Linked DNA regions of Saccharomyces cerevisiae S288C. Changing the gene in region 2 together with the main gene of any one other region gives a genetic interaction. Each region holds a gene or a part of one and is shown on either strand. Other genes may lie near its edges.

Region 1 (4,422 bases), on a different chromosome or scaffold from region 2:
TAGCTCCTTACGCAAGCGGTGTTGCCGCTACTGGCACTATTAAAGCTACTGAAAACGATATTTTCAAGCCATTGACACATGACAATATCTGGGATATGGATGGAGGTACCACCTCCAAGGGAGTCGATATTAAATTAGCCTCAGCAACCACCATTAGTCAAACAGATGAATCTCACAAGCAAGAATACAAATCGACCACTATGCTGGAAAAAGGGAAGAAGGAAAAATCCGAATCTGTAGCAAAAGCGTTATTGGATGAACAAGAGAAACGGAACAGAGAACTCAAAAGGAAGGAAGAAGCTCGCTTATCGAAGAAACAAAAGCAAAAAGAGGATGATTTATTGAAGAAACAAAAGGAACAAAAGGAACAAAAGGAAAAAGAAGCTTTGGAAGCAGAAAAGCAAAAAAAATCAGAAAAGACAAAAAAGGACACACAAACACAAACAGAAGGCTTTAAGACATCAAAAGATTTGCCTTCATTAAATTCCTCAAGCGCGAATCCGGCACCATGGGCCTCAAAAGTCAAAGTTAACAATGCAATCGAAACTTCAATTAAAAATGGTGTAAGTAGCACTGGAAAGAAGAAAGGAGAACCCTTAGGTCTACAACAGAGGAACAGCAAAGAAGAAAAGCAAAAGGAGGAACTAAAATCCGTGCTTAACTGGGCTAACAAGTCCAGCCTACCATCGAATCAAACTATTGATATTAAATCTCAGTTTCAAAAAAGCCCAAAAGGGATGAAAGAGTCGTCTCCGTTAAAGGAGTTGGAAGATCCAAATTTCATAGAAGAGCAGAAAAAACTATGGGAAAAGGTTCAGAGTTCTTCCAAACAAGTAAAGTCCACATCCTCTGCATCTACTACCACATCTTCTTGGACTACGGTGACTTCTAAAGGGAAAGCACCTATAGGAACCGTTGTCTCCCCATATTCAAAAACCAATACCAGTTTAAATTCTTCATTAACGGCAAAAACTAGCACAACTTCTACTACCACTACCTTTGCTAGCATGAACAATGTTTCTCCCCGGCAAGAATTTATCAAATGGTGTAAATCACAGATGAAATTAAATTCTGGAATAACCAATAACAATGTCTTAGAACTATTATTGAGTTTACCTACGGGGCCAGAATCTAAAGAATTGATTCAAGAAACAATTTATGCCAATAGTGACGTTATGGATGGTAGAAGATTTGCCACTGAATTTATTAAAAGACGTGTTGCGTGCGAAAAACAAGGTGATGATCCACTAAGTTGGAATGAAGCGCTAGCTCTATCAGGCAATGATGACGACGGCTGGGAATTCCAAGTAGTGAGCAAGAAGAAGGGTAGAAAACACTGAAAGGAAAAGCTTCATAATTTTTTCTTTTCACTGCATATTTCTTTATCATTTATTGTTATTGTATATACTTTATAACTATTTTTTAACGCAGATAATGACAAATTCTATACATATTTTTAAAAAAACACTGAACGAGCGAATACATATCTTTGCACACAGTAGGCACTAATTGACTAATCTTCCATCATTATTTATTTTCAGCTCCCACTCTTTAATACACACTTCTTTCCGTTTCAAGATTGATTGATAACGTCTAGAGAGAGCTTGATTAAAGCAAATTTCTTTACAAACCATAACGAACAATTGAACCCAGCCCGGTTGCAATCTTTCAGCTTCTTGTAAAGTATCTTTAAATTCCAATTCAATTAATTTAACTTCAGTTTCAAATCTCTTCCAGTAATCCTCCCCAATAGAGCCATTTTTATATAGAAGGTTTATCTGAGGAGCCAACTCTTTTAACTTTAATGATCGTCTAACAGATTCTGCTCCTCTGTTCAATAAAGCGGCCTTCAACACCTTCTCGTGAATTTTTTCATTTTCACTCATTTCCTTTATTTGGAAATACAGATCATGGGCATCGTTTTCGTCAAATATGGATGGTTGCTCACTAATTTTTTTGGCCTGCTTCTTTCTGTAGCTTGAAGCAAACATCACAAGGGACACCACCAGAATAAAGACATATATGAGTGGGGTATAAACGGAGATTGATTTCGTCTCCACAATTGGCTCTTCCGTTTCAAAAAACGTCCCGTTGTTGGAGAATTTTGTTTCATTAAATTCGGACATATTGGCAAACTCAAGTAGTTGTGCGTACCTCTTTCCTGTACTTGAATTCGTTTAAATAAGCCATTTCATTAATATTTCATCAATTTTTTCACATATTATTTCAACTTTTAGACGTGTTCCTAAAACTTTTGACGTTTTTTGGCGGGTAATAAGATGCGTCTACCCATTTTAAGGAACGCCCTCGTAACATACAGAACGAAGAGTGGCAAATAATAGGACAGTACTCTGAAGAAAAATTTCCCTATACTACTGATATCGATATACATTTAAGTGAAGTATGCTTATCAGATTTAGATCAAAAAACGGTACACACAGGGTTTCTTGTCAAGAAAACGACCTTTTCGGAACGGTCATTGAAAAGTTGGTGGGTAATCTGGACCCCAATGCCGATGTCGACACATTTACTGTTTGTGAGAAGCCCGGTCAAGGTATTCATGCTGTTTCTGAACTAGCTGATCGAACAGTGATGGATCTAGGACTAAAGCACGGTGACATGCTGATCCTTAACTATTCGGACAAGCCCGCTAATGAGAAAGATGGTGTCAATGTTGAAATCGGATCCGTAGGTATTGACAGCAAGGGAATTCGTCAACACAGGTACGGTCCACTAAGGATCAAAGAACTCGCTGTAGATGAGGAACTAGAGAAAGAGGACGGATTAATTCCTCGTCAAAAATCAAAACTATGCAAGCACGGTGATAGAGGTATGTGTGAATACTGCTCGCCTTTACCTCCTTGGGACAAAGAATATCATGAGAAGAATAAGATCAAACATATATCGTTTCATTCATATCTTAAAAAGCTAAATGAAAATGCTAATAAGAAGGAGAACGGCAGCTCTTATATTTCCCCTCTTTCAGAACCTGATTTTAGAATCAATAAGCGTTGCCATAATGGCCATGAACCATGGCCTCGGGGGATATGTTCTAAATGTCAACCATCGGCAATTACATTACAACAGCAAGAATTTAGAATGGTTGACCACGTTGAATTTCAGAAGAGTGAAATAATTAATGAATTTATTCAGGCGTGGAGGTACACGGGTATGCAAAGATTTGGCTATATGTACGGATCTTATTCTAAGTATGATAACACACCTTTAGGTATAAAGGCCGTCGTTGAGGCGATATACGAGCCCCCTCAGCATGATGAGCAAGACGGTTTAACCATGGACGTAGAACAGGTCAAGAATGAAATGCTACAGATTGATAGACAGGCTCAAGAAATGGGGCTTTCGCGAATTGGCCTAATATTTACAGATTTATCTGACGCGGGAGCTGGGGATGGGTCTGTTTTTTGCAAAAGACATAAGGATTCGTTTTTTCTTTCATCATTAGAAGTTATTATGGCTGCTAGGCATCAAACAAGGCATCCTAATGTAAGCAAGTATAGCGAACAAGGTTTTTTTTCTTCCAAGTTTGTAACTTGCGTTATATCAGGTAATTTGGAAGGTGAAATTGATATTTCGAGCTACCAAGTATCCACAGAAGCTGAAGCATTGGTTACTGCAGATATGATAAGTGGGTCCACATTTCCTTCAATGGCATATATTAATGACACTACAGATGAAAGATATGTACCTGAGATATTTTACATGAAGTCGAATGAATATGGTATAACAGTGAAGGAAAATGCGAAGCCTGCATTTCCGGTAGACTATCTTTTAGTGACGCTGACTCATGGGTTCCCGAATACCGATACGGAAACCAACTCGAAATTCGTTAGTTCCACCGGATTTCCATGGAGCAATCGACAAGCTATGGGGCAATCTCAAGATTATCAAGAATTAAAAAAGTATTTATTCAATGTGGCTTCAAGTGGAGATTTCAATCTTTTGCATGAAAAAATCTCGAACTTTCATTTACTATTATACATAAATTCTCTGCAGATACTCTCTCCAGACGAATGGAAGTTACTAATAGAATCTGCTGTGAAAAATGAATGGGAAGAATCTCTACTAAAACTTGTCTCATCGGCTGGTTGGCAAACGTTAGTCATGATCCTTCAGGAAAGCGGCTAGGAGAGACTGTAAGATTTGAGGTTTTAGATTAAAAAAATAGAAATGCGCGGAAGGTAAAATTGAGCCTTTTTTATTTTAAAACTATGTAAATCATCCAAAATAGTAGACGTTTCTAGAACGTCCCCTTACCAAAAATCACATCATACGAGGAGTTTTAAGGAACAATAACTGGGAGTCGCTTTTACAAATTGGTATATATTAAGGTACTCTTGATATAAACCAAAGGACTTTGCCGTTTAGAGATTTTTATTTATGAAATCTTGTATATAGATTTTG
Region 2 (8,018 bases):
TATTAGTTTTGACCTATGTGGGAAACAGAATTTTCAATGAGTTATGGCAACTTGGCCGAGTGGTTAAGGCGAAAGATTAGAAATCTTTTGGGCTTTGCCCGCGCAGGTTCGAGTCCTGCAGTTGTCGTTATTTTTCTCTTTTTTTTCAATTTCCCTTGTTCGTCAGATCGAGGCGGTAGAAGAAACAATTACTTTTCCTAAATGGGTAAAAACTCGTGTTTTAGGAAAAAAAAGAAAAATTTGGTCAAAACTCGAAAGATAGGTTCTTAATCTTCTTTCAAGTTGAAAAGGCCTACGCTCTTTTCCTTGAAGCATTTTCATCCTACTGCTCGTATTGAACTCCACTATAAGCGCACCAAAAAGATACAAACGTCAATTATGGAAGGCTCAACGGGATTTGATGGAGACGCTACTACTTTTTTCGCTCCAGACGCTGTGTTTGGTGACAGAGTGCGCAGATTTCAAGAGTTTTTAGATACTTTCACCTCATACAGAGACTCTGTAAGGTCCATACAAGTTTACAACAGCAATAACGCGGCCAACTACAACGATGATCAAGATGACGCAGACGAACGAGATTTGCTAGGTGATGACGACGGTGATGATCTTGAAAAGGAAAAGAAAGCAGCATCGTCCACCTCATTGAATATACTCCCTCACAGGATTATCATCTCGCTTGATGACTTGAGAGAATTCGACAGGTCGTTCTGGTCGGGCATTTTAGTCGAACCAGCATACTTCATCCCGCCTGCCGAAAAGGCGCTTACTGACCTAGCAGATTCCATGGACGATGTTCCACATCCCAATGCCTCTGCAGTATCGTCTCGCCATCCTTGGAAGCTTTCGTTCAAAGGCTCATTTGGTGCACACGCATTGTCTCCTCGTACTCTAACGGCACAACATTTAAACAAACTGGTCTCTGTTGAGGGTATCGTAACTAAGACTTCGTTGGTCAGGCCAAAGCTTATCAGATCTGTCCACTACGCGGCAAAGACTGGTAGATTCCATTACAGAGATTATACAGATGCTACTACAACTCTCACCACCCGCATCCCAACGCCTGCCATCTATCCAACGGAGGACACTGAAGGTAACAAACTAACCACCGAATATGGGTATAGTACGTTCATAGACCATCAGCGTATCACTGTGCAAGAAATGCCCGAAATGGCCCCCGCTGGCCAACTTCCCAGGTCCATTGACGTCATTCTCGATGACGACCTTGTGGACAAGACCAAGCCAGGTGACAGAGTTAACGTTGTCGGGGTATTCAAGTCGCTTGGTGCTGGTGGCATGAACCAGTCCAACTCTAATACATTGATCGGGTTCAAAACTCTGATCCTAGGTAATACGGTGTATCCTCTCCACGCCAGATCCACGGGTGTCGCTGCGAGACAAATGTTGACAGATTTCGATATAAGAAATATCAATAAACTATCCAAAAAAAAGGACATTTTCGATATCTTGTCTCAATCTTTAGCGCCTTCTATTTATGGACATGACCATATAAAGAAAGCCATTTTATTGATGCTCATGGGAGGTGTGGAGAAAAATTTAGAAAATGGCTCGCATTTAAGAGGTGACATCAATATCCTAATGGTGGGTGATCCATCCACTGCCAAGTCCCAATTGCTAAGGTTTGTGTTGAATACAGCATCACTGGCAATTGCTACTACTGGTAGAGGTTCTTCCGGTGTCGGTTTGACCGCAGCGGTCACTACTGATAGGGAAACAGGTGAAAGAAGACTAGAGGCTGGTGCCATGGTTCTTGCTGACCGCGGGGTTGTATGTATTGATGAATTTGATAAGATGACAGATGTGGATAGAGTCGCCATTCATGAAGTAATGGAACAACAAACGGTGACGATTGCCAAAGCAGGTATTCACACAACATTAAATGCTCGTTGTAGTGTTATTGCTGCCGCAAATCCCGTTTTTGGGCAGTACGATGTCAATAGAGATCCACACCAAAACATTGCCCTACCGGACTCGCTGTTGTCTCGTTTTGATTTACTATTTGTTGTGACAGACGATATCAATGAAATCAGAGATAGATCCATTAGTGAGCATGTCTTAAGAACACACAGATATTTGCCTCCAGGTTATTTAGAGGGTGAACCTGTGAGAGAGCGTTTGAATTTATCATTAGCCGTTGGGGAGGATGCAGATATAAATCCTGAAGAGCATTCCAACTCCGGGGCTGGTGTAGAAAATGAAGGAGAAGATGATGAAGACCATGTCTTCGAAAAGTTCAACCCCTTATTACAAGCAGGTGCTAAGTTAGCAAAAAACAAAGGTAACTATAACGGTACAGAAATTCCAAAGCTAGTCACCATCCCATTCTTAAGAAAGTACGTTCAATATGCCAAGGAAAGGGTTATTCCACAGTTAACACAAGAAGCCATCAATGTTATTGTGAAAAATTATACTGATTTAAGAAACGATGATAATACCAAAAAATCGCCCATTACTGCAAGAACTTTGGAGACTTTGATCAGATTAGCCACAGCTCACGCCAAAGTCAGGTTATCCAAAACAGTCAACAAGGTGGATGCTAAAGTGGCTGCCAATCTACTAAGGTTTGCACTATTGGGTGAGGATATCGGCAATGATATCGATGAAGAGGAAAGTGAATACGAAGAAGCTTTGTCGAAGAGGTCTCCACAGAAATCACCGAAAAAAAGACAAAGAGTCAGACAACCAGCAAGCAACTCTGGATCCCCAATCAAATCTACTCCAAGAAGGTCAACGGCATCTTCCGTTAATGCCACGCCATCGTCAGCACGCAGAATATTACGTTTTCAAGATGACGAACAGAACGCTGGTGAAGACGATAACGATATAATGTCACCGCTTCCTGCGGATGAGGAAGCTGAATTACAAAGAAGGCTTCAACTGGGGTTGAGAGTGTCTCCAAGACGTAGAGAACATCTTCACGCACCTGAGGAAGGTTCGTCGGGACCTCTTACCGAGGTCGGTACTCCAAGATTACCTAACGTATCTTCTGCAGGTCAGGATGATGAGCAACAACAGTCAGTTATTTCTTTTGACAATGTGGAGCCTGGTACCATTTCTACTGGTAGATTGTCTTTAATCTCAGGTATTATTGCGCGTCTGATGCAAACAGAAATATTTGAAGAAGAATCCTATCCTGTGGCCTCTTTGTTCGAAAGAATCAACGAAGAACTACCGGAGGAGGAAAAATTCTCCGCTCAAGAATATTTAGCAGGTTTGAAGATCATGTCGGACAGAAATAACTTAATGGTTGCTGACGATAAAGTTTGGAGAGTCTGATGTCACAGGAATGTTTACTAAAAGACTTCCATTCTTGGCTTTTTTTCTTTTTGTCATTCATAATTTTCAGTTCATTTCCAGATTATTTAGTTCATTAATTGTTATTCGTGTATTAAAGAATTATGTATTAAAACGCTTATTTCCTTCTTTTGTTTGAATGTGTTGTAAGCAGTTATGGGGCACTATATCTTCTGTTAATGAATATGTGTGATACTTTGGCTTATCTTACTTGCTCATTCGTGGCTTCTTGTCACGCCATACGTTACGCGTTTCTCTTCCTCTTCGCGTGTTCTGAATAAAGCCAAGTGGCAATGTCTCTTCCACCATATAACATGAAGCTTTAGCAAGCTTTTAGCTCTAGACATAGTTGACATATCAGACCTACAGAAACATAGGAATCGGTAAATGACAAAGAAATCATTTGTGAGCAGTCCTATTGTTAGGGACTCGACATTGCTGGTACCAAAGTCATTAATAGCAAAGCCGTACGTATTACCGTTTTTCCCGTTATACGCTACCTTTGCCCAACTATATTTCCAGCAATATGATCGTTACATCAAAGGACCTGAGTGGACTTTTGTCTACTTGGGGACATTGGTATCCTTGAACATCCTAGTCATGTTAATGCCTGCTTGGAATGTCAAGATCAAGGCGAAATTCAACTACAGTACTACTAAAAATGTCAATGAAGCTACTCACATTCTCATCTACACCACTCCAAATAATGGTTCTGATGGTATCGTTGAAATTCAGAGAGTAACTGAAGCGGGCTCTTTGCAGACTTTTTTCCAATTTCAAAAGAAAAGATTCTTGTGGCATGAAAATGAGCAGGTATTTTCTTCACCAAAGTTCCTTGTTGATGAATCCCCAAAGATCGGTGATTTCCAAAAATGTAAGGGCCATTCCGGTGACCTAACTCATTTGAAGAGACTATATGGTGAGAATAGTTTTGATATTCCTATTCCAACATTTATGGAATTATTCAAAGAGCACGCTGTTGCGCCATTGTTTGTTTTCCAAGTTTTCTGTGTTGCCTTATGGCTATTGGATGAGTTCTGGTATTATTCTTTGTTTAACTTATTCATGATTATCTCCATGGAGGCAGCTGCAGTATTTCAAAGATTAACTGCCTTGAAGGAATTTAGAACTATGGGTATCAAACCTTATACCATTAACGTGTTTAGAAACAAAAAATGGGTAGCATTGCAAACCAATGAATTGTTACCTATGGATTTAGTGTCTATAACAAGAACCGCCGAGGAGAGCGCAATTCCTTGCGATTTGATCTTGCTCGATGGCTCCGCTATTGTTAATGAAGCAATGCTTTCAGGTGAATCTACTCCCTTGTTAAAGGAATCCATTAAATTACGTCCTAGTGAAGATAATTTACAACTGGACGGTGTTGACAAGATTGCTGTGTTACATGGTGGTACAAAGGCATTACAAGTAACACCTCCTGAACATAAATCGGATATCCCTCCTCCACCTGATGGAGGTGCCTTAGCCATCGTCACCAAAACTGGCTTTGAAACATCTCAGGGTTCTTTAGTTCGAGTTATGATTTACTCCGCTGAACGTGTTTCCGTCGATAATAAGGAAGCGTTGATGTTCATTCTTTTCTTGTTGATTTTCGCTGTTATTGCATCCTGGTACGTTTGGGTTGAGGGTACAAAAATGGGTAGAATTCAATCCAAATTGATCTTGGACTGTATATTAATTATTACATCTGTTGTTCCTCCTGAGTTACCAATGGAATTGACCATGGCTGTCAACAGTTCTCTGGCCGCCCTTGCCAAGTTCTATGTCTATTGTACTGAACCATTTAGAATTCCATTTGCTGGTAGAATTGATGTTTGTTGTTTCGATAAAACTGGTACTTTGACCGGCGAAGATCTTGTGTTTGAAGGTCTAGCTGGTATCTCTGCGGACTCCGAAAACATTCGTCACTTGTACAGCGCTGCCGAAGCACCAGAAAGTACAATTCTTGTCATTGGTGCTGCTCACGCTTTAGTTAAATTGGAAGATGGTGATATTGTTGGTGACCCAATGGAAAAGGCGACCTTAAAGGCTGTTGGTTGGGCTGTCGAAAGAAAAAACAGTAACTATAGAGAGGGCACCGGAAAATTGGATATTATCCGTAGATTTCAATTTTCTTCTGCTTTAAAAAGGTCTGCTTCTATTGCTTCTCACAACGATGCCTTGTTTGCTGCTGTCAAAGGTGCACCTGAAACGATTCGTGAAAGGCTTTCTGACATTCCCAAGAATTATGACGAAATCTATAAATCCTTTACACGCTCTGGTTCAAGAGTTTTGGCTTTGGCTTCTAAGTCGTTGCCAAAAATGTCTCAGTCTAAAATTGATGATCTAAACCGTGATGATGTTGAATCTGAATTAACCTTTAATGGGTTTTTGATTTTCCATTGTCCTCTGAAGGATGACGCTATTGAAACCATTAAAATGTTAAATGAATCCTCCCATCGTTCTATTATGATTACTGGTGATAATCCATTAACTGCTGTTCATGTGGCTAAAGAAGTTGGCATAGTTTTTGGCGAAACTTTAATCTTAGACAGAGCAGGTAAATCTGACGACAATCAGTTGCTGTTCCGTGATGTTGAAGAGACAGTTTCCATCCCATTTGATCCATCAAAAGACACTTTTGATCATTCTAAATTATTTGATAGATATGATATTGCTGTTACTGGATATGCTTTGAATGCCTTGGAAGGGCATTCTCAATTAAGGGATCTATTACGTCACACCTGGGTTTACGCACGTGTTTCACCATCCCAAAAGGAGTTCTTGCTGAATACACTAAAGGATATGGGATATCAAACTTTAATGTGCGGTGATGGTACTAATGATGTTGGTGCTTTGAAACAAGCTCATGTTGGTATTGCATTGTTGAATGGTACCGAAGAAGGTTTGAAAAAATTGGGTGAACAACGCAGATTGGAAGGTATGAAAATGATGTATATAAAGCAAACTGAATTTATGGCTAGATGGAATCAACCACAGCCACCTGTTCCTGAACCGATTGCACACTTATTCCCACCTGGTCCAAAAAATCCTCATTATCTGAAAGCTTTAGAAAGCAAAGGTACCGTCATTACGCCAGAAATCAGAAAAGCAGTTGAAGAAGCAAATTCCAAACCTGTTGAAGTCATCAAACCAAATGGACTATCGGAAAAAAAACCTGCTGACTTAGCTTCTTTGTTGTTGAACTCTGCTGGTGATGCCCAAGGTGATGAAGCACCAGCTCTAAAGTTAGGAGATGCATCTTGCGCTGCCCCTTTTACCTCGAAACTGGCCAATGTTTCTGCTGTTACTAACATTATACGTCAAGGCCGTTGTGCTTTAGTTAACACAATTCAAATGTACAAAATCTTGGCCTTGAATTGTTTAATCAGTGCCTACTCTTTGTCCATCATTTACATGGCTGGTGTCAAATTTGGTGATGGTCAAGCCACTGTCTCCGGTTTGTTACTATCGGTTTGTTTCTTGAGTATTTCCCGTGGTAAACCTTTAGAAAAACTATCCAAGCAAAGGCCACAGTCCGGAATTTTCAATGTTTACATTATGGGATCTATTTTGTCTCAATTTGCCGTTCATATTGCCACTTTAGTTTACATCACTACAGAGATTTATAAATTGGAACCCAGAGAGCCACAAGTTGATCTTGAAAAGGAATTTGCTCCATCATTATTGAATACGGGTATTTTCATCATTCAGTTGGTACAACAAGTCTCTACATTTGCTGTCAATTATCAAGGTGAGCCATTCAGAGAAAACATTAGGAGTAACAAAGGTATGTATTATGGTTTATTGGGTGTGACAGGTTTGGCACTTGCAAGTGCTACTGAATTTTTACCTGAGCTAAACGAAGCCATGAAGTTTGTGCCAATGACTGATGACTTTAAGATTAAGTTGACCCTAACATTATTGCTCGATTTCTTTGGTAGTTGGGGTGTCGAGCATTTTTTCAAGTTTTTCTTCATGGACGACAAACCATCAGACATTTCTGTGCAACAGGTCAAGATTGCCTCTAAATGATAAATCTTTTATGTAGTACCCCTTTTTGTATTTATATACTTATATTACCCATTCATATAGATCTTTTTTAATGGGTGTATTGTTAAGTTTATGAAAGTGCTGTATTATTTGTAAAACAGCTTCTAAGTATACGAAAATTATAATAGCTTCAAGTTTATATTTTGTTGCTAGCGTTACGGTTATGTTTTTACGATACATATCGCCTAAGCAGGTCTCTGCGCCTAAAAAAAGTAAACATATAAATTGGGAAAGCAATATAATTAAACATACTGCTATAGTAAATTCATTACTAGGCCAATTTAACCGTGCCTTATTATGATATGAAATACCAGTCAACAAGTCCCGCTTAAATGCACTCTAGTAAAGCTACAGGTGGTTAACAAAAATTAAGAAAACAGAACAACCACGAGATTCTTTGAACACGGTCTGTCAAAGATCTTGACTTGGACTAGTTACACAATTTATTTTCCAACTGAGTGGTTTAGCACAGGAATAGTTTAATCGGGTCTTAAATTTTTACTTTGATTTTTGCAGGGGAGATGCTAAGTCAAATTGCAGCACCCTTTAAAGGGTCAGACGTAGAACATCAAAAAAAGAACAAATCTCAAAAATGATTATTTAACTAAGATTAGCAAACTTCAAAATCATGGCGATTAATTGATACCCTATTG
Region 3 (5,355 bases), on a different chromosome or scaffold from region 2:
GCAATAACAATACAACAGAAACTACTAGCATCTGTTTATAAGAAAAAGGCAAATAGTCGACAGCTAACACAGATATAACTAAACAACCACAAAACAACTCATATACAAACAAATAATATGTCTGACAAGGAACAAACGAGCGGAAACACAGATTTGGAGAATGCACCAGCAGGATACTATAGTTCCCATGATAACGACGTTAATGGCGTTGCAGAAGATGAACGTCCATCTCATGATTCGTTGGGCAAGATTTACACTGGAGGTGATAACAATGAATATATCTATATTGGGCGTCAAAAGTTTTTGAAGAGCGACTTATACCAAGCCTTTGGTGGTACCTTGAATCCAGGGTTAGCTCCTGCTCCAGTGCACAAATTTGCTAATCCTGCGCCCTTAGGTCTTTCAGCCTTCGCGTTGACGACATTTGTGCTGTCCATGTTCAATGCGAGAGCGCAAGGGATCACTGTTCCTAATGTTGTCGTCGGTTGTGCTATGTTTTATGGTGGTTTGGTGCAATTGATTGCTGGTATTTGGGAGATAGCTTTGGAAAATACTTTTGGTGGTACCGCATTATGTTCTTACGGTGGGTTTTGGTTGAGTTTCGCTGCAATTTACATTCCTTGGTTTGGTATCTTGGAAGCTTACGAAGACAATGAATCTGATTTGAATAATGCTTTAGGATTTTATTTGTTGGGGTGGGCCATCTTTACGTTTGGTTTAACCGTTTGTACCATGAAATCCACTGTTATGTTCTTTTTGTTGTTCTTCTTACTAGCATTAACTTTCCTACTGTTGTCTATTGGTCACTTTGCTAATAGACTTGGTGTCACAAGAGCTGGTGGTGTCCTGGGAGTTGTTGTTGCTTTCATTGCTTGGTACAACGCATATGCAGGTGTTGCTACAAAGCAGAATTCATATGTACTGGCTCGTCCATTCCCATTACCATCTACTGAAAGGGTAATCTTTTAAGAGCACGACCTACTAATAACGAGAACTATTGAAATAAAAAAGAGTAGTTTTTTATTTTTCAATTTTTTAATATGATAATTATTTTATGACTTATATAACCACACCAACTAATCGTACTTTTATATGTTTAAATAGAATGGCTGTTTCAGTCGTACACTATTAATAACATTATGTTACTTCGCAATTAAATGTTTTTCAAAGCTAAAACTTCAAAACAAGATATAAACAATGTACAAAAATGATTACGAAAATATAGATGATGTAAGCAAGGTACGGTTATAAACAGTTAACATATAAGTTTACTTCACTTTTTTGCTGACTCCTTTACTTGTCTTCCCTGCACTTTGATTTTACTTCAGAAAAAATAAGATATATGTTTCTGATAAAACTTTTAGGTTAGCGGAGAAGATGTTGCCACGAATATCATGTAATTGAAAGGCAACGAAAGGTCTATCGTTTGCCATTCATAATGTGATTCGACTTGTCTTTTTCATTGTAACAGACATGAAACGTTTCCTTTACGTCCCTATGAATTTTTGTTGGCTGAACTGGGCGCTGCAGGGGCTGGACGATCCAAATGCGCGGATTTTGAACAATTATGAGAATCCGAATTAAAAGAAAGGGAAAACAAATTTAATAACAGGCAGACGTGAGAGAAGAAAAGGAAACGCTGTGATATAGAAAACTATACAAATCCTATTATAAGAAGCCAGAAGAAAGCTGATACAAGATGAGTTGGGAAGGTTTTAAGAAAGCTATCAACAGAGCTGGTCACAGTGTGATAATTAAGAATGTCGACAAGACCATTGATAAAGAGTATGACATGGAAGAACGTCGTTATAAAGTTCTTCAAAGAGCAGGTGAGGCATTACAAAAGGAAGCCAAAGGTTTCTTGGACTCATTGAGAGCTGTGACAGCATCACAGACTACCATTGCCGAGGTCATCTCTAACCTCTATGACGATTCAAAATATGTTGCTGGTGGTGGTTACAACGTTGGTAACTATTATTTGCAATGTGTTCAAGATTTTGATAGCGAAACTGTTAAGCAATTAGACGGGCCCTTAAGAGAAACCGTACTAGATCCAATAACAAAGTTTTCGACGTATTTCAAAGAAATTGAGGAGGCCATAAAAAAGAGAGACCATAAGAAACAAGACTTCGATGCTGCGAAGGCAAAAGTTCGTAGATTAGTGGACAAACCTGCTAAAGATGCCTCTAAACTGCCAAGGGCTGAAAAAGAATTGAGCTTAGCTAAAGATATTTTCGAAAATCTTAATAACCAATTGAAAACTGAACTACCACAGTTAGTTTCATTAAGAGTACCTTACTTTGACCCAAGTTTTGAAGCTTTAATCAAGATTCAGCTAAGGTTCTGTACTGATGGTTACACTCGTTTAGCGCAGATTCAACAATATTTGGACCAACAATCAAGAGACGACTATGCCAATGGGTTATTAGACACTAAAATCGAAGAACTATTAGGACAAATGACAAGCCTAGATATTTGTGCGCTCGGGATAAAATAAATTAATGCTTTTGCCTTTAGTTTTTTACGGTCATTTATGTTTCTTTCATTTAAATTAACAGACCTAAATAGCACTATAATTTACTATCTGCTCTATCTGACCAACCGACTCTTTTTAAGAAAGCAATTAAAAAGCGATAATAACCGCGGGCATGTGTTTTTGTTAACATGAACACAATAAACGTAAGAATGTCTAGCAATAAATTCAAAATTATTATCTTTTTTTTTTTTATTGTTATGTACTATTTTTTTTTTTAAATAAGGTTACAATTCTTTTTTAATTAATGGGATTTACCAATTTGAACGTGATCCGTAATCAGCCAAACGGGATATAAAAGTAGAACAATAGAAGCGAGGAATAAGATACGAATGCCGGATAACAAAGCATTCCTTAGTGTACTAGATTAAGTAAAAAATACCGAATTGTTCCAAAATATCGTGATATTTGAAAGTGAAGTACTCGTTTATTTCAATGCGCGCCCATTATGGCAGCATTTTATCTCCCTTCCCCATTCACTGTTCAAAATTTGTTTCCCGTTAATTCTTCTGTACGGAACGGGATCTAACATCGAATATATAACATTCCTACACCTGGCTCTTTTTAAACTTTCGATTGGCTCATAGCCTCCCTTTTCCTTACGTCCTTTTAAATAATTCATATAAAATGGATCGTCTTTTTCAGCAGAACTCCACAATTGTCTACCAGTTCTCATTGCCATATAAATGACACCACATGCCCATATATCTACGGGTCTTGGATCAAACTCTTCTTTGATATATTCCTCTGGGGCGATGTACGGCGATGAACCGCAAACGCCTCCACTAAGGTGAATATTTTTTTCCCATGCCATCTTGAAACATTCGCTGTTACCAAAGTCTGTAATTTTTAGCACACCATCGTGCGTAAGCAGTAAGTTCTCAGGCTTCAAATCTCTATGACAAACACCCATTTCATGCATATAAACAACACCTCTAATAAGCTGCTTGAAGAAACAATCTGCTTCCATATATTCTAATTTTCCGGCGGCAACGACCAAAGTGAATAGATCGCCACCTGCACAATATTCCATTACTTCACAGTACTCGCCTTTGGCATCTTGGAAAAGATCTAGTGTAGTAACAATATTTGTATGGTGTAATGAAGAAGAAATGCAAAATTCAGAAGTCAACCTCTTAGAATACTTTTCTGCTGATTCGGATGTTCTACGCTTGAACTCTTTCACTGCATAAAGCTTTTCACTTTTATTACCATCTTGAGAAGAAACATTTTTCTTTTGACATATTCTTACTACACCAAAAGCACCTTTACCAAGGACTTCTTGACAGCGACCATACTTTTCGGCAAAACATTGCCTATCTTTTTTAGTAGTAGTGATATTATGCGTATTATTTTTGGAATCTTTTTGATCTGACCTGTATATATCCCTTTCAGGACAATTTAAAGCGCCACTTGTGGGAGCGCCTTCTGGATATTTATCATCCATATCCACGACCTGCTTCATGAAGCCTGCAAAAAGAGTAGGAGGATTCTTGTTGGATTTTAAAGTCGTCTTTGGATCCATTATTATATCAGGGACAGCAGATTTTGCCTCACCACGTAATTTGCTCGCACCAACCATGTTTTTAATCATTGTGCTTAGCTTTTCTTGTCTCTTAGCATTTTTTAAGTGATGTTCATGGGTACCATCTTTATGCACAAGAAACCTCCCACAAATAGGTGCACTTGTATTGGTTATCTTATTTACATTATTAATATTTGAAGCAGTGGGAGTAGGCGCGGGTGTAATAGCAGTATTGCTGTTACTATGATGAGAGAACTTTGGGCTCAAACTTTTGGAGCTAATATTTATGGCTGATGTGGGTGATAAGGATAAAGCTGATACTGACGAAGTTAAAGAAGCAGCTGATGATGACTTAGAGGTGTTAATATCAATATGGTTGTTTAATGATGCGGATGAACTAGAGTGCGATGGTGATGCCGACTGGTAATATTCGGGCATATACATGCCCGGTTTACTCACACCTGCAGTATTAGAAGGATTAGAAACTACCCTAGGAGTAGCAGTGGTTGGGGTATGTAAACCAAATTTGGCTGATTTAGACGCCGATGGAACGTTTGTGTTTATATTAGAAGGTGGCTGGATATTCGATGAGGCCTTTCCCTGCCTAGATGATCTTGAACCGCTTCTAAAAAGTTGCATAACTTTAGAAGATAGCGCATGTTTCCTTGGAGTTTGCTGAGGAATAGCGGCATTATTATCATTCATACCAGTCATATATTTGAGGGGTAATGTCGAAATAAAATAAAATCTGATTACTTTTTTTTTGATTACAGGGAATAGTAGTCACAATACTTACTACTAGTTAATATCTAGCGGTAAATGGAGAGTAAAAAAAGGTTGAGAGCCTAATATTAGAAAGCTACCTTAAGCTTTCCAGTTTTTATTTGTAACTTAAAAACGCTTAAAGGCTTAGTACAACTTATTGAACAGGACTTTGAAAGTCCAAATTTTATTCGATAATGTTAAAGTGAATAACAACAACCCAGCAATAACAACAACAACAACAACACAACAGGTTATAACGAAACCGACAGGAAATCGTCAAAAAAAAAAAATGATAAAAAATTCTTAAAATCGAAACTCCAAGTAAAGGTCTATATTAGGGTTTAATAAACTTTTGCTAAAAAAAATTGCCGAATATCTCTATAAAGTAGTATATTTTCTTCTCCGTTTCCTCTTCCCTCTTTAAAAGCTGTAATATTATATATACTATTTGTATAGCGGAAAATGCGTGAGATGGCAAGAGCTCGGCCTGTTAACATATTAGCACGGGGAGGCCGATGTTGATTTGATGAAA
Region 4 (7,261 bases), on a different chromosome or scaffold from region 2:
TAGTCGCTAGGCTCTAGAACAGGTTTTTTCTTTGTGATGATACCACCCATCGACCAAGATACAGTGTCTACTTTGTAGTTGCGTTCCAGAATGGCACTTAACAAGTGTTGACCAGTATGTTGTTGCATATAATCCATTCTCTTTTGCTCGTCCACGGCCACTTCCACTGTTGTTCCGGGCTCAATGTAGTCATTGACATGATGCTTTGCATGTAAACCGAAACGAGAAACGTGTGAAACTAATATCTTCTCAATTTTCGACGAATTACGATTCCCTTCAACAATTTTCAAAAAACCAGAATCACTTGGTTGGCCCCCACCTTCGGGGAACAGAATAGTATCTTGTAGTTCAATCTCATAACCTTCAATCTCTCCCTTTTTATTCTTCGTTGGTTCGCAAGAAACAACCAGTGTTTTGAACCCATCGAAGAGAAATGAGTTCCTCTGGCAGGCTAAAGCGCCGACCTTGACAGGCGTCATAGGTGTGGGCATGATAACTTACCTTTTAATCAATTTTTGACGCTGTTGTGTGCTTTCGTCGATATGCGTCACCAGGATGTCTATTCTTAAGTTTTTTTTACACGATAAGGATAAAAAATAAAAAGATGTTAATGATGGGTGGTTGGTTCTTTTACTAATGAAAAGTGTAAGCATATTTCGTACAAATTGCTTGCAATAAGTCACTTGTACAAAAGTAAACTGATATAAACGTCTTCCTAGTGGGCTGAATTTCAGAATTTACGCGAGTGATACATGAATTTACTGATAATCGATGGTATTCGTTATTTGATAAGGTGGTATTATTGAATATACAGAATGCATTATATGCGCTCATTGAGGATATAATAGTCATGACAGGAAATCAATGTCCTACGTAATAACACTATTATTTCTTCCTTTGCATTGCACGTTGTTATGCATTACTCTGTTACATCATCAGTTCTTGTATTTCGGCTTTTACTAGATTTGAGATTGTATCTCATGGCTTATGTCACTTTCTTACATTGTGTGTGATAGGTATACTAGTAACATGGCCACTAGTCAATAAGCAACGGTCAATTCTTATTCCAGCAGTTCTTAATATGCATGGAATTAGTGAAGAATAGGAGCCGATAACTTTACTTGTGCATTTGTATTAAATTTACGTCCTTCTTATTTATTTCGTCCACGTACGTTACTACCCTTTTTCCAGTAATTTTTCTTTAACTTGAAATGGTCTTGTAACTCCTATTACATTCCGGTGCCATATCAAGAGTAGCCTGGTAATATAGAAAAATTCCAGTAGCTTAACAAGAGCCTATTTTTAATCAAAAATGCCGGAGCAAAAAGCCAACTGTTCACCAAACGGTAACATAACAGTTGATAGTATGATTATGTCGCTAGGATCTTCTTAAAGGATAACACGAATTACGAAACCAATAGAGGGATATTAGAAGGATCAGCTGAAACCTAAAGATCAATAATATAACAGGATTATAAGTGACAACATATAGTATTAAAGAAACAAACCGCTATATGATTGCATGTATTACCACCTCTCTTTTGTTGATACGCATATCCCTGAGGAAAACTCTCAGCACATTCCATATACGAGGGAAAAATTGGATTTCAAAAACTGGTATCTAATCCTACCGATGCGTATGTTAGTCGAAATCTATAAGTAAATTGTTAATGATTGCTTTCTGTTCGTTTATACTTCCATTTTACTTATATATCACCTGCCGTCTCAGACGACAAAATACATACAACTGGCGTAATGACGCTTTCATACAAAATATACATCTAAGGTAGTAATTCATTCTAGTAAATATTCATCCGAAAGCTGTAGTATCTGAAGTATATTGTACATTATCGTAACAAAATCCCCAGTGAAGTTTACTCACAATGGATTTCGTTGTAGACTATCAGACCTACGCAATGGCGGATACTGCCACGCCAGAATTACCAGAACCTGAGCCAAGACTAAACTTAACCTCAGATGCACAGTCACAGCCCACCGGTAAACTAGATCTACAGTTTAAGTTGCCCGACCTTCAACGTTATTCCAATAATAATGCAACTTTGCCAGTAGATAATGATGGTGCTGGTTCGAAAGACCTACATAAGAAAATGACACATTACGCAATGTCTTCCATTGATAAAATACAGCTTTCAAATCCAAGCAAACAATTAGGGCAAAATTCCCAGGATGAAAAACTATCGCAGCAAGAATCTCAAAATTTCACGAATTACGAGCCAAAAAACCTTGATTTATCAAAATTAGTATCCCCGTCAAGTGGTTCCAACAAAAATACCACAAATTTGGTTCTTTCGAATAAACTATCCAAGATATTGAACAATTACACATTGATTAACTATCAGGCCACAGTCCAACTAAGAAAATCCCTAAAGGTTCTAGAAGAGAATAAAGAGAGATTGTCCCTTGATGAACAAAAGCTCATGAATCCTGAATATGTAGGTACTTTGGCAAGAAGAGCATTGAGGACTGATTTGGAATCTCAACTGCTAAAGGAACATATTACGGTACTTGAGGAATTCAAACCTATCATTAGAAGGATTAAACGATTATCTTCTTCCGTCGAAAAAATACAAAGAACGAGCGAAAAATTACTAAGTAATGAGACAAATGAGGTTCCAACAAATAACGTGGTACTTCAGGAAATAGATCAATACCGTTTAAAGGCAGAGCAGTTGAAGCTGAAAAAAAAAATACTGTTATCTATAAGGGATAGGTTTACTTTGAATCAGGTAGAGGACGATGTAATCACCAATGGTACTATAGACAACATCTTTTTCGAGGTAGTAAAGAAAGTAATCAATATTAAAGATGAATCAAGTTTCTTGCTGACGCTTCCTAATTTGAATGCTGGAAATGCTTTGATAATGGGAGTTAATGAAATTTTAGAAAAGACAAACAAAAAAATCTTCAATTATTTGATCGATTTTTTATATAGTTTTGAATCCTCTTCAAATTTATTAAATGACCATGGTACTACTGAACAAGAAAGCTTAAACATTTTTCGGAAGAGTCTGGTCTTCCTGTCAAGTGATCTAGAATTATTTAATGAGTTGTTGAAAAGAGTGACCACACTGAGATCCAAGAGTATTCTGGATGAGTTTTTGTCTCAATTCGATATGAATTCAACTACCTCTAAACCCATCATATTATCGGCACACGATCCAATTAGGTATATTGGTGACGTACTAGCGTCCGTTCATTCCATCATCGCAAATGAAGCTGATTTCGTGAAGTCACTATTTGACTTTCAGGATGAAGACTTAAAAGATACCCCAATTTCTATACTTCAACAAAACAAGACATTCTTGAAAGGCATCGACAACAAATTGCTGAACGATATCATCCAGTCGCTATCCAATTCGTGTCGTATTCGTATCGAGCAAATCGTGAGGTTTGAAGAAAATCCGATCATCAATTTCGAGATTGTGAGGCTGCTGAAACTTTACAGAGTTATGTTCGAGAGAAAGGGAATTCAGGACGATAGTTCTATTATTAACAATTTAAAGTCGTTGGAAGACATTTCCAAAAACAGAATTATTGGATACTATGAAGACTATATGAAGCAAACAGTCATGGCGGAAACAAAAAATTCTTCAGATGATTTACTGCCACCAGAGTGGCTATCAGAGTATATGAATAAATTGGTAGAGTTATTTGAAATTTATGAAAAGACACATGCTGCCGAAGATGAGGAATCAGAAGATAATAAATTGCTCTCATCTAAGAATTTACAAACAATTGTAGAACAACCAATAAAAGATGTTCTGTTAAAACAATTGCAAACATCTTTTCCTTTGGCGAAAAAAAATGAAAAAGAAAAGGCATCATTGCTAACTATAGAGATAAACTGTTTCGATTTAATTAAATCTAGACTTCAACCTTTTGAGGGATTGTTTGCACAAGATGATGACAGCCGGAAAATCACCATCTGGGTTTGTGATAAACTGAAGGAATATACTAAGCAAATGCTAACTTTACAAATAAAATTCCTATTTGAGAATACAGGTTTAGACCTTTACAGCAATTTGGTCAATATGATTTTTCCTGTGGACTCAGTAAAGGATGAATTGGATTATGATATGTACTTAGCCCTGAGGGATAATTCATTGATGGAATTAGACATGGTCAGAAAAAATGTGCATGATAAGTTGAACTATTATCTACCTCAGGCGTTAACAGATGTTCAAGGTAATTTACTATTTAAATTAACGTCACCAATGATAGCTGATGAAATATGCGATGAATGTTTCAAGAAGTTGTCGCTATTTTATAATATCTTCAGGAAACTGTTGATTCATTTGTATCCGAACAAGAAGGATCAGGTATTCGAAATTTTAAATTTTTCCACTGATGAATTTGACATGTTGATAGGTATTGATCACTGAGAGATGAACAACTTCTGTTTAAAATCGTCTCACAAAGACGCATCTTGCCCATAATGTAGCGATGCTCTATATCTCAAATATTTGTTACCTTTTTTATGTTGGTATGCGGCGGGTATCTATATAATATATGGGTGTATACATACGTAGGGGGAACATCAAAAAGAAAATAATGATCACTCAAGTACTATTTAAAATCTTGCCTACAGAATTATCCTTTGTGATGGTTCTTACGGGGCTTTCGTTTCTACTACTGCTTTCACTGCATGTTCTGTCATCCAAGTCATCGTGTACTTGACGTCCTTCACGAACCGATTGCAGCATATTTGGTTGTTCCTTCATATTGGATTCAATTGGTTTGTCATGTGAGGTAAGTGCTACGGACACGTTAGAATGTATAGGGGATGGTGATCTCTGTACTTGTTTTTCTTTTGCTTCATCGATAATACTTAAATCGATCACTCCAAAGGAGGATGTGGATCTTGCACGCCTATGCTTTTTTTGAACCATTCCAGGTTTCCTTGGTATAGTATGTAAATTGTGCGTGTGGAGATCCTGTTGCTGTTGTGGAGGAGGAGGCAGTGGTTGAGATAGCGGCTGCTGTTGGTCTCTATTGAAACTTAGTATGGATGTCATTGTAGAAGGAATATTAGGATTGGTGAACTTTCCTATTGGAAGTGACAAGTTACGGCTGTGAAGAGAAGTCGGCTTCTTGTTTAAAGGCGATTCTTGAGATTTTGTACCAGAGGGAATTCGCCTAGCCACATCTTCCTCCTTAATGGAAATATTGTCATTCAACGCAGCAACTGCGGATGCACCTATTCTTGCAGGAGAATTAGCTCTTCGTTGTACATTTGTAACTGTGGAGTGTGATATACCGCCGGTAGAGGATGATGCTGGAAACTTATATGGAGAGGGCTGTCGACTCATTGGAGTTGGTGACACTGTGTTCATATTTAGAGGTTTTAATGACTTCATAGAACCATTCAATCTGGGCAGATTTTCTGAAGATTGCGTGCCTTCTGTATTGTTATGTGGTTGATTGCCCCCTGCCTTCATCGGCGAAGACGCCGGTACGCCATGGTCGGTGTTGAATAGTTTATGTATTTGATTTATGGGCAGACCTGAACTGGAAGCAAGCTTAAACAACTCTATCGAACGATTCAAGTTTTCAAGTTTATAATATTGCTGCTTAGTCTTTTCTTGTTCTATTTTCAAATCCATAGCTTTCATTAAAGCATTCTCAGAAAAAGCCCATTCCGATACATTAGTACCAAATATTATATCTAACAGCGATTTGCTCTTGTTGACATTATTATGACTATTATCATTGCTTTCCTTTGGCTGGCTGTAACTGTTGAAAGTACTCATTGGTCGCCTGTGCTCACAGATGGTTGCAAGTTTTCCATGTAATGTAATTTGCTACTTATTTTCCTACTGCACGCGCAAGTTTTCTCGTTGACTGTTATTAAGAAACAAATGAACAAACAACAACTGCACTAGAAGAGCAACAAGACTAGTTTCCGCTTTCCTTCTCTTTTTCTTTTTTAAAAAAGCCAATACTGCATTTGCAGCTTACTGAAGAGGCCAAAAGAAACAAGGCTTGATGATAGTCAGTAATCTTCCTCTGGACCTCTTCGCCGAGTTCTTCGAGAAGTTCCCAATAAGGTAATCGAAACGAGAGAAAAAAAGACGAGCAAAAAATTTTCTCAATTTGCCTACTTTTAAGGGTTCGGAGAGGAAGGTTTATTTGTAAATCATGACATTATTGGGCGAAGCGTAAGTGGCTTTGAAGAAGAGGAATAGCTACTCGACCAAAACTTGAAGATACTATCATACCCAACTTGGAGCGCTCAGTGACTAGTCTGCCTTTAGTGCTGTCCTGCCTCCCGTCATGCCAAGAGCCGTACTCTCCCCTTAAGGGCTGCTATTTTTTTCCGGTAGGTGTTCGGAATCCCCTTTCGAGAAAAGTAATTAATCCGAGAATTCCTTATATTTCTTACCAGAAATAGTAAGCGAAAAGGACGTTGAACTATAGCAGATCAGCGCGTCTTCATAATCCCAGAAGGAGGCGGGAAGAACAACCCCCCCCATATAGTTTTACTGGTCTCCTTTCAATCTGTTTGTTCTGAACCTACTTTCATTCTTTTGGCAGATATATGTTGCAACACGTACATAGAGTGAGTTTACTTCTTTCAGCTTGGAGAAGCATGAGAGGTTAGGTTGATTGATGCTAAACAAAAAAATTCCGCCCTGATGGTGAAAAAAGATAACGGGGCGAGCTGGGAATTGAACCCAGGGCCTCTCGCATGCTTTGTCTTCCTGTTTAGGCAGGAAGTCGCCCAAAGCGAGAATCATACCACTAGACCACACGCCCGATTATTTCGTGTGGTTGTTGTATTACGGGCTCGAGTAATACCGGAGTGTCTTGACAATCCTAATATAAACAGTCTTAGGGAAGTAACCAGTTGTCAAAACGGTTTATCAGATTAATTCACGGAATGTTACTTATCTTATATATTATATAAAATATGAATCATACTAAGTGGTGGAAGCGCGGAATCTCGGATCTAAACTAATTGTTCAGGCATTTATACTTTGGGTAGTTCAGCTAGGGAAGGTCGGGTTTTGTCTCATGTTGTTCGTTTTGTTATAAGGTTGTTTCATATGTGTTTTATGAACGTTCAGGGTGACGTATTGTCATACTGACATATCTCATTTTGAGATACAACAGTGGTTGTGTCATGAAGTTAGTCAATACTAGCCGTCTTAACAATATTAATACCTGTCAGAAGAGCAGCTTGATTGACGGAATGTTACTTATCCCATATAATCTATATAGGATCTAAATCTGACTAAAG

Evidence for each region.
Region 1: mutations in SPF1 (region 2) and SEC66 together harm fitness more than expected from each alone (negative genetic interaction), as found in Saccharomyces cerevisiae (5 studies listed by BioGRID).
Region 3: mutations in SPF1 (region 2) and RVS161 together harm fitness more than expected from each alone (negative genetic interaction), as found in Saccharomyces cerevisiae (5 studies listed by BioGRID, with this or other methods).
Region 4: mutations in SPF1 (region 2) and COG6 together harm fitness more than expected from each alone (negative genetic interaction), as found in Saccharomyces cerevisiae (5 studies listed by BioGRID).

The regions. Positions count from the first base shown.
Region 1 is NC_001134.8:576,068-580,489, reverse strand, and holds SEC66 (Sec63 complex subunit SEC66), read right to left. Parts: upstream 2,127-4,422; coding exon 1,506-2,126; downstream 1-1,505. Other genes in the region: SMY2 (Smy2p), read left to right, coding at 1-1,340; NPL4 (nuclear protein localization protein 4), read left to right, coding at 2,404-4,146. UniProt on the Saccharomyces cerevisiae protein: Acts as a component of the Sec62/63 complex which is involved in SRP-independent post-translational translocation across the endoplasmic reticulum (ER) and functions together with the Sec61 complex and KAR2 in a channel-forming translocon complex.
Region 2 is NC_001137.3:86,559-94,576, forward strand, and holds SPF1 (ion-transporting P-type ATPase SPF1), read left to right. Parts: upstream 1-3,699; coding exon 3,700-7,347; downstream 7,348-8,018. Other genes in the region: MTC7 (Mtc7p), read left to right, coding at 1-40; MCM DNA helicase complex subunit MCM3, read left to right, coding at 379-3,294. UniProt on the Saccharomyces cerevisiae protein: Endoplasmic reticulum translocase required to remove mitochondrial transmembrane proteins mistargeted to the endoplasmic reticulum.
Region 3 is NC_001135.5:127,887-133,241, reverse strand, and holds RVS161 (amphiphysin-like protein RVS161), read left to right. Parts: upstream 1-1,699; coding exon 1,700-2,497; downstream 2,498-5,355. Other genes in the region: ADY2 (Ady2p), read left to right, coding at 118-969; serine/threonine protein kinase SAT4, read right to left, coding at 2,961-4,772. UniProt on the Saccharomyces cerevisiae protein: Component of a cytoskeletal structure that is required for the formation of endocytic vesicles at the plasma membrane level.
Region 4 is NC_001146.8:546,610-553,870, reverse strand, and holds COG6 (Golgi transport complex subunit COG6), read left to right. Parts: upstream 1-1,883; coding exon 1,884-4,403; downstream 4,404-7,261. Other genes in the region: YNL040W (putative alanine--tRNA ligase), read right to left, coding at 1-491; YNL040C-A (uncharacterized protein), read left to right, coding at 1,313-1,393; BOP3 (Bop3p), read right to left, coding at 4,581-5,771; YNL042W-B (uncharacterized protein), read right to left, coding at 6,501-6,758. UniProt on the Saccharomyces cerevisiae protein: Acts as a component of the peripheral membrane COG complex that is involved in intra-Golgi protein trafficking.